Canis lupus familiaris: one gene and its partner. The protein of the gene in region 1 purifies or fractionates together with the protein of each later gene. This does not show direct contact. Links are inferred from orthologs where the notes say so. Each region holds a gene or a part of one and is shown on either strand. Other genes may lie near its edges. The genes, in order: MAPK3 and DUSP6.

Region 1 (4,560 bases):
CTCTTAAACCTTCACTGACTTGTAGGCTATTGGGAACCAGCTACTCAGTCTCATTAATCTGAATTAGAGTGCCTGGCTGTAGATCTAATTATGAGCAATTTCAGAATCATAATTACTGTTCCATTTGGTCTCTTGATCTGTAATGCACATAAGGATCTACTCTTAGCTTCTAAGGGATTATAAAACAAACAAACAAACAAAACCCAACGTGGTTACTTACTGAAGGCTAGGAGATGTGTTTTGTGAAGCGTCCAGCTCACAGCTTCTCTGTGAAGTGAGGGGAATGGACTGGATGGCCTCGGAGGGCCCTTTCCTGGGTTTTAACAGGCTCTGATTCTGGGAGATTGAATGGAATTGAAAAGAGCCTCTGCCTCTGTGTCAAAAGATATCATTTTAAGTCTCAACTCCCCATCCATACAATTTGATTTATCCAGTCAAAAATCTTTGAACGTCTGAGCGTCAGGTACAGGGGAGGATACAGTAATGAGCAAGACAGACATGGCCCCTGCTCATCCTGTTAAGAAAATCGGAGGACACCTATAATGTGCGGTTGTCCTATGGAAGAAACCCAGCTGGTCCAAGTATGGTGTAAACTACAAAATCTTGCATCCCATCAAAAGATGGTGATCCTGCCAGGATTCCAGTTTCACCAAGTCCAATGACAACAAAATCGTCACCTATTTTGCTGTTTTTTGAGAGAAGCCTGATAGTGTATTTTAACCAAACCTGGTCAACACTGCAGGCAGCTTTCCCGCCCTTCTGTTGCAGTTCCACCTAAATGGGCTGAGGTTATGGGTGCTCACTTCCAGCACTGTACTGTCGCTGGCAAGAGGCCAAGCCCCTAGTCCACTCTCGCAGGCCTGTCAGAAACCCATTAGGCTGAGTCTGGACCTGCGGGTTCTCGGTGGCTCCAAGTCACCAGCCTCGGCCCCTCATCTGTGAAAGGCAGGCCGTATCTGCGAAGAAGCCATCTCCCACGCTACTGGGAAATGCGGATGCGGCCGTGTGTCGTCGGGCCGAGCCTCGCTCGGAGGCCACACTCCAGAGGGCTGGGGAGGGCCCCCTTGGGGCTCCATCTCGAGCCCCGGGCCGCGACTCGGTTGGCAGCAGAGCTGGCGGGGCCAGGCGACTCGGTCCCGGCCCCAGCTCCCGCACCCGCTTGCTGGGTGGCTCCGGGAAGGTCACCTGGCGGCCCTGCCGGCTATAGCCTGCATTCGGCGGGAGGGGTGCACCGTCTCCCGGCCGCCGCGCTCGTCCCTACGGGCTGCCAGCAGCAGACGGAGCGGCCGGGCACCGGGGACCCGGGCAGCAGCCGAGGGCGCCCGGGAGCGCGCGGGGGTCACGTGGGGCGCGCGGGGGCGCGCGGGGGCGCGCGGGGGCGGGGCCTGGCGCACGCGGCTCAGCCGGCGGCGGGGCGCGGGGCGCGGGGCGCGGGGCGGGCGGGAAGGGGCGGGGCCTCGGGCGGGGCCGCCGGGGGGAGGCGGGGAGGCGGGAGGGGAGGAGTGGAGATGGCGGCGGCGGCGGCGGCTCAGGGGGGCGGGGGCGGGGAGCCCCGGGGAGCCGATGGGGTCGGCCCGGGGGTCTCGGGGGAGGTGGAGGTGGTGAAGGGGCAGCCGTTCGACGTGGGCCCGCGCTACACGGAGCTGCACTACATCGGCGAGGGCGCGTACGGCATGGTCAGGTGAGGGGGCGTTCCGGAGGAGGGGGCTCGTGGGGGGGCGCGCGCGAGGGTGAGTGCCCTCGGGCCGGGGCGCTCCCAGGGTCCCGAGGAGGCGGGGGCTTCACGAGGCCGGCGGGGCGTCCCACGGCGCGGCCCTGGGGTGCTCTGGGGGAGCGGCGCCGCCTACGTTCTAAGGGGAGGGGGCTTGGGAGGCCTCAGGAGCGACCATTCTGTAGTGAAGGGAGGGGCATCGGAGTGTCCGCGGGGGAGCCGTGGGGGGACCCTGGGGACTCTGTGGACGCGGGAGGAGGCGGAGACACGAAGTATTCTTGGGGAGGTGATATCAGTGAGGACCGAGTGAAGGACCCTACTCTGGGGAAAGGATGCCTTGGATTCTCCCAGTGAGGCCTGCCAAGGAGCTGGGGAGAGCAGAGCTCAGGGCTGGGCAGGGTGGGGCAGGGCTTTGGGCCTGGGGCCAGGAGCCCGGTGACCCATGAGGGGTCCAGGGGTGCGTTCTTGCAACTTTTAGAAGGGGTCTGTTAGCTCTCTCGTCCCCACTGTGTGCTCTGGGCCTTTGTTCATCTGGGAACAGCTCTCCTGCCCAGGTGCCTGACCCTAACACCTCATCCCTTCTTTCCCATCCCTCCTGACCGCCTCCTTCTCACTGTGCCTCACTGTGCGTCCTGCACTCACCTCCCACTCCCTGGACCTGTCTTGGGTTGAAGGAGCCCAGCCTGGAGAGGGGAGGATGAGAGGTCAGGGCAACTAGAATGGACAGGGCTGAGGAGAGGGGAAGTCAGTGAACGGTCAGTCTCTTCCTCTGTTTGTGAAGTCACCGAAGGGCTGCCTGGCTGGTCCCCAGCTTTCTCCCTGGAGATCCCAGGCCTTCACAGCAGGAAGGAACCAGCATTGTTTATGACTTGGCCAGAGTCCTCTCATGCTCCCTCCCCTCCCTGCTCAGGCCTGGGTAGGGCCACCAGGCCTGGACTCCCCCTATGTAAGGCCACACCAACAACATCTCTCTGACCCTCTCAGCTCAGCTTACGACCACGTGCGCAAGGTTCGCGTGGCCATCAAGAAAATCAGCCCCTTTGAGCATCAGACCTACTGCCAGCGCACACTGAGGGAGATCCAGATCTTGCTGCGCTTCCGCCATGAGAACGTCATTGGCATTCGGGACATTCTGCGGGCGCCCACCCTGGACGCCATGAGGGATGTGTATCCTTCACCTTGGCCAGATGGCTGGCTAGGCATAGCCTCAGAGCCGGGCTGGGAGAACGTTGGCTTTCTTTCTGTTTCCTTCTTTCCTGCCACACTCCAAAACAAACCCAGCAAATGAAACTTTCCAGCAGAAAAGAGACCACAGAGTGTAAGAGGACTGGGAGGCCTGAGGTGAATCCTGGCCTGCTGTAACCAGGCTGTGTGGCCTTGGGCAAGTCTGTGCTCCATGCTGTGCCTCATTTGGGGGGAGGGTGAGAGTTGGGCTCTATGGGAGCTTTGTCTTTTGACATCTGCATTTCTGTGACGTGACCCAGCCTCTGCCCACAGACAGTTCTTGTTTAACAGATGATGATTCTTTCCTCTCTGGGTCTGCAGACTGGAAGGAAGGCAGGAAGGAAGAAAACTGCCCGTTCTGAAGGGCCTACTATGAGTGAGGTGCAGTGCACGCCAAATGCTTTGACACTTCTTATTCTACCTCCCAGCTGCTGTATGAGATGGGTCTCATCAGCTCCATTTCAAAGATGAGAAAACTGAGGCTCAGAAAGCCCCAAATCAGGTGCTGCTGTTGCTGCCTCCTAACCTCCCCCAGATGAGAACTGTCCTTTCTCTGACATTTCCTGCTCAGAGCCTCACCCCAGTCACCTGTGGACTTGCACTTCGCCCAGGGAGGGACAGCCTTGTCTTTGTTGCCCTCCCCCCCCCACATTGCTTCCCTAGCTTGTCGTCCACTTCCTGTCAGGCCCTGTTGTTAGCAGCTTATAGCACCCATCACCTCTCCCCACCCTACCCACCCCCAGCCAGTCCCAGTTCTCCACCCAAATGTGGGGATTTGTGCTGCACTGTCTGCAGCCCCCACCACAAGCTGTGGGCAGGAAATCTCCACACTCGCCACTAGCTTGCTGTGTGACCTTAAGCAAGTCACTGCATCTTGCTGGGCCTCCTCACCTCTCAAACAGCATAATCGGCCCAGGTGTCTTCAGAAGGCTCTTTCAAGGCTGATTCTAAAAGACAGCCCTGACTTATTCTTTCAGAGAGCAACCAAATGGCATTTATTTATTTATTTATTTATTTACTTAACGTATGTTTAATCTTTGTTTTCTCTTAAAATACCAAAGGACATTTACTCTTCCATCTTCTGATGTATGGCCAGGCACTCTTTGAGGAGGAGCATGCTGTTGGGAGTTTCTCCTCATTTGTCTTGCCCAAACCATTCCCCATAAGGCAGGCATTTATTTTTAAGCAAACATTTATTGCATGCCAGATGGTGTTCACACTATCTCATTTAACCCTCTCAACAGCCATGTGGCTTAGGCATTTATCATAGCAACACTAGTTCATGTTTGCTGAGCACTTACAACATGCTAGGCTCTGGACTGGGCCGGCTGGTTTCCATGGGTCACCTCACTGAGTCTTCATAACTGCTTTCCAAAGAGCCACTCTCTCTCCCCTGCTTTCCACATGAGGAAATGGAGGTGCAGATGGGTTGAGGTCATGAGGCCAATGAGCAGTGGAGTGGGGGTTTGGCCACCAGCAAAACAAGTCCAGAGTGGTTGCTCTTAACCGTGAAGCTTTCCTGCTTCCTGCAGTTTATCATCCCTGCTTTTCCCAATAAGGAAACAGAGGCCACGGAATGGAAGTACTTTTGTTCAGGGGGTGCCAGCCGAGAATGCAGCAAGAGG
Region 2 (4,386 bases), on another chromosome or scaffold:
GGAATGCGCCCCCCCCCCCCACGCCGCGGCCCCCGCCCGCCCCGCCTCCATCCGGTGCCCGGCCCGCCCGGCGCTTCCCGGGTACCTGCTGCTCCCCTGCTGCTCCCCGCGGCGCCCAGCCCTCCTGGCGAGCCCGGGGGGCCGGGGGAGGTCTCGGCAGGCGCCCCGCCTCGCCCCTCGCCCACCCCAGGCCGTGACCGGACCCCGGACCCCGGACCCCTCCGCGGGGCCGCCCAGCGCCGCGCACCCCGGGGTGGGGGTGGGGGGCGGGGTGCTGGGCGGGAGCGCAACGCGCAGGCGCGCCCGGTGCTGCGCAAAGTGCCCGGCGCCCCGGGGCGGGGGGCGGGGGTGGGGGGGGCGCCTGGGTGGGACGGAAGGCTCCCCTCCGACGGGCCCCCCCGGCCTTGCGGGGGGCCCGCGCGCCCTACATGCACCGAGCCCAGGCAGCCCCGCCAGCCCGGCTCCTCTGTCGGAAGCCGAGCTTGCTGCCCAGAAATGATTAACGAGCGCAGCTCCCCGGCGCGCGGTGGGTGACCGCGGGAAGGCGGCGGGGGCGGGCGGGGCGCGGGGGGGGGGCTTGGATCCCCGGAACAATGATGGCTCATAGCGCCCCAGGCCACTGGAGAGGAATAAAAACATCGGACTGGCCAACCAGTTTGTTTCTGCAGGCTCCACTGTTTAAAAGCAAAATAAAGTTAATTTAAATGCAATTTAAGACAAAACCCTTTCTCCCTATCATCTGGACAGCCAGGCATTTGTTTGTTTGCTTGCCTTAAAAAGCGTCGACAAAAATCCTAGTCTGTTTCGAAAAGATGTTGGATTAGCATTTAACACCTCATCGGTCACTAAAGCCCAGGCAGTTCACCAGCCCCAACACAGCCTCGGCTAAAAGAACATCAGAGCAAACAGAGCTGGGCTTTTTAAACGGGCAAACAAATGCCACACACCGCCGAGAGGGGGGAGGAGGGGGGTCCAGGCGAACTCCGGTCCAAATGAGTTTAAAGGGAATTAAAAAAAAAAAAAAAAAAAGGAGCGGGGGGGGAAGCACAAGTTTTCTTAAAGCTAGCCTTGCAAGCCCAGGCGTCACGAACAAGGGCTTTTGTGCCTGCTAATTGCACCGTTTGTGCGCAAAAGTTCCGACGCGAAGTGTGAACTCTCAACAGAAGGAAACATGAGACAACCGGAGTGCCCCGGTTTATGTGCCCTGCTCCTCCTCCGCCGCCGCCTCCTCCTCTCTCTCCTTCCTCCCGCCGAGCCCGCTGTTGCAGCTTGTTTGCACTGGGGCTTATCCGGAGCGGAAATTCCTTTCCGTTTTTGTGAATGACAAACTCATTAACAATTCATCAACACAACCTGTTCCAGCCGGCCCGTCCCCACGGCAACAGCCCCTTCCGCAGCGCGCTCATTGGCTGGCCGGGAGAATGTATCCATTGAGACGCTCGCTGTTTGTATCCATTGAGGAGCTGCCTCGCGCAGGGGGTGTGCGAGGGCTGAGTCCAGGGGCCAGTGAGCAAATCGAGGTTTGAATAATTCGAGGAGAGAGGCGCCCGGGCGGATTTGAGGTGCAGCCTTGAAGGGAGGGATTAGGAGCCGCTGGACTTTCTTTCTTTCTTTCTTTCTTTTTTTTTTTTTCCTTCCCTTCCCTCCCCTCTTAGTAGCAGGGAGTCCGAATTAATTGGATTTCATTCACTGGGGAGGAACAAAACTGTCTGGGCAGCTTCATTCAAAGAGATTCATTGACCCCGAGAGCGAGCGGCTGCAGCTGGGTGCGGAGGGAGCCGCGGCCCCGCGTGCCCCGCGTGCCCCGCGTGCCCCGGCCGCTGCCCCGGGTGCGGGGAGGGCCAGGTGGAGGTAGCGCCCCGCTGCTCGGCGAGCGGCGGCTCCGCGCGGCGCGCCCGGCCTATGCCTGCCCCGAGGGCCGTCTGGTAGGCACCCGCCCTCCCCGGCAGCTCGACCCCCATGATAGATACGCTCAGACCCGTGCCCTTCGCGTCGGAAATGGCGATCAGCAAGACCGTGGCGTGGCTCAACGAGCAGCTGGAGCTGGGCAACGAGCGGCTGCTGCTGATGGACTGCCGGCCGCAGGAGCTGTACGAGTCGTCGCACATCGAGTCGGCCATCAACGTGGCCATCCCGGGCATCATGCTGCGGCGCCTGCAGAAGGGCAACCTGCCCGTGCGCGCGCTCTTCACGCGCGGCGAGGACCGCGACCGCTTCACGCGGCGCTGCGGCACCGACACGGTCGTGCTCTACGACGAGAGCAGCAGCGACTGGAACGAGAACACCGGCGGCGAGTCCGTGCTTGGGTTGCTGCTCAAGAAGCTCAAGGACGAGGGCTGCCGGGCCTTCTACCTGGAAGGTAGGCAGGCGCCGGGGGAGCCCCCCGGGCGCGGGGGAGGGTGATGGGGGAGGCCCGGGGTTGTGGGGTGCAAGTGAGGCCCGCTGCGCCCACGAGCAGCCTGGCGCAGGATCCACCCGCTTCCGGCCGCGGACACGCGTGGTTTCTTTCTAACGAGTTCCCCTGCCTCCACCTGTGCCTGCTTCCTACCGTTCGATTTTGAACTACGATTTGCAAGACAGCAGAGGCCCCTGGGCAAGGGGGACGGGACGGGACGGGCCGGGGGAAGGAGGAGGGGGGGCTGGGCTGCAGATTTGCACCTCCTCGCCCCTCAAAAAAAAAATTTTAGAAAAGTTGCCATTTTGTGCATTTCCGGATTGGAAAGCAGAAGGGTTTCCAGGGAAGGCGGGCCTGTTCGTTCCACTCCCCAAGGTGCACGTTTTTTTTAAGTGTCTCTCTCTCCTGCAGTTGGCTCGGGGTGGAGGGGGTTTCGGAGGCTGCTGTGGGGTGGCCCGCGCCCGCCCGGCTGCGGCTCTCGCAAGCTGTGAAAACTACTACGGGATCTCAGGTTACACGGTTGCTCTTCTCGCCCTGGCAGGTGGCTTCAGTAAGTTCCAAGCCGAGTTCGCCCTGCACTGCGAGACCAACCTGGACGGCTCGTGTAGCAGCAGCTCGCCACCGTTGCCAGTGCTGGGCCTCGGGGGCCTGCGGATCAGCTCCGACTCCTCCTCGGATATTGAGTCTGACCTTGACCGAGACCCCAATAGCGCGACGGACTCGGATGGCAGCCCGCTCTCCAACAGCCAGCCTTCTTTCCCCGTGGAGATCTTGCCCTTCCTCTACTTGGGCTGTGCCAAGGACTCCACCAACCTGGACGTGTTGGAGGAGTTCGGCATCAAATACATCTTGAACGTCACCCCCAATTTGCCGAATCTCTTTGAGAACGCAGGAGAGTTCAAATACAAGCAGATCCCCATCTCGGATCACTGGAGTCAAAACCTGTCCCAGTTTTTCCCCGAGGCCATTTCTTTCATAGGTGAGACTAATGAACCGTCCTTCCTCAAGACTTTTAAATGCAAAATTCCCAGCCATTCATCGAACCTAAGCTGTTAATCTTTCTTGCCGCTGGCTAGCCCGGCCGACTGCAGGTCTCTAATGTTACGGGGGTGGGGGTGGGTTCTTAATTCTGGTTCATCTTCTCGCCAAGAGGACGAAAAGTGCCTTTCGACTTGGCTGCAAACCACAGGTGTATTCGAAACGGCGTTTCTCGAGTCTTTGCATTCACTCATTTGAAAGCAGCCTGTGCATAATCGGGCAAGAGAATTTTCTCACAGTCTTTGGACTTGGGGAAGGCTAGATGAGAGATGAGAGTACTCCCTACGGACAGGCATTTTAGCATCGCTTTATAATTTTAAAAGCCCCGGGAGTTACAGTAGGATAGCGGGTTAGTTGTTGGAAACCCCTCTGAATGCTGGATGTTGTAATCCAGTTGAATGTTACTGTGATACCGGTTAACAGTGAGACAGTGGTAACCTGAGCCCAGCAGGAAGGACTGTGGGCTGGAAGCCTGGAGAAGCGAATCTCCAGGCATTGTAATGCATTTCCTATTACAAAGGAACTCATTTTCAGGCCATGTCGACATCCTGTTCCTCCTAATGGGCTGTCCCCTGTGACTTCCCTCTCTCTTTTAAAATGCCTGAATACCTCCATTGTTAGCTGCACAACAGTTGGAGAATAATTTAATAGACCCTTGCAGTCTGCTTGTCTGTATAAAAGGCATTCAAGACCATATTGCAGGGTTTCTGGTATTCACATGCTGAGGCAAAGAATGCACACATTAAGGATTTTTTTGTTGGCAGAAACTTAATACAAAAGCTGCCTTTTCAGAAAATATCTGAAATATGTAATTGTGCCCAGTGTACATGTTTTATCGCAATGATACATTTGCTGCTGCCTGCGGGGCTCAACTGCCACACACGAGTCTTTCTTCTTTCTTTCTTTATTTTCTTTTTTTTTTTTTCCTCCTAAATTCGGTTCTTAGGCTGATC

Evidence for each region.
Region 2: the proteins of MAPK3 (region 1) and DUSP6 purify together in Homo sapiens (affinity purification with mass spectrometry; 7 studies listed by BioGRID and IntAct, with this or other methods). This does not show direct contact. The link is inferred for Canis lupus familiaris from reciprocal best matches to the Homo sapiens genes MAPK3 and DUSP6.

Annotation. Positions count from the first base shown.
Region 1 is NC_049227.1:18,278,537-18,283,096, reverse strand, and holds the start of MAPK3 (mitogen-activated protein kinase 3), read left to right. Parts: upstream 1-1,494; 5' UTR 1,495-1,508; coding exon 1,509-1,681; intron 1,682-2,695; coding exon 2,696-2,878; intron 2,879-4,560.
Region 2 is NC_049236.1:30,629,734-30,634,119, reverse strand, and holds the start of DUSP6 (dual specificity protein phosphatase 6), read left to right. Parts: upstream 1-1,423; 5' UTR 1,424-1,959; coding exon 1,960-2,359; intron 2,360-2,936; coding exon 2,937-3,374; intron 3,375-4,386. UniProt on the Homo sapiens protein: Dual specificity protein phosphatase, which mediates dephosphorylation and inactivation of MAP kinases. Has a specificity for the ERK family. Plays an important role in alleviating chronic postoperative pain.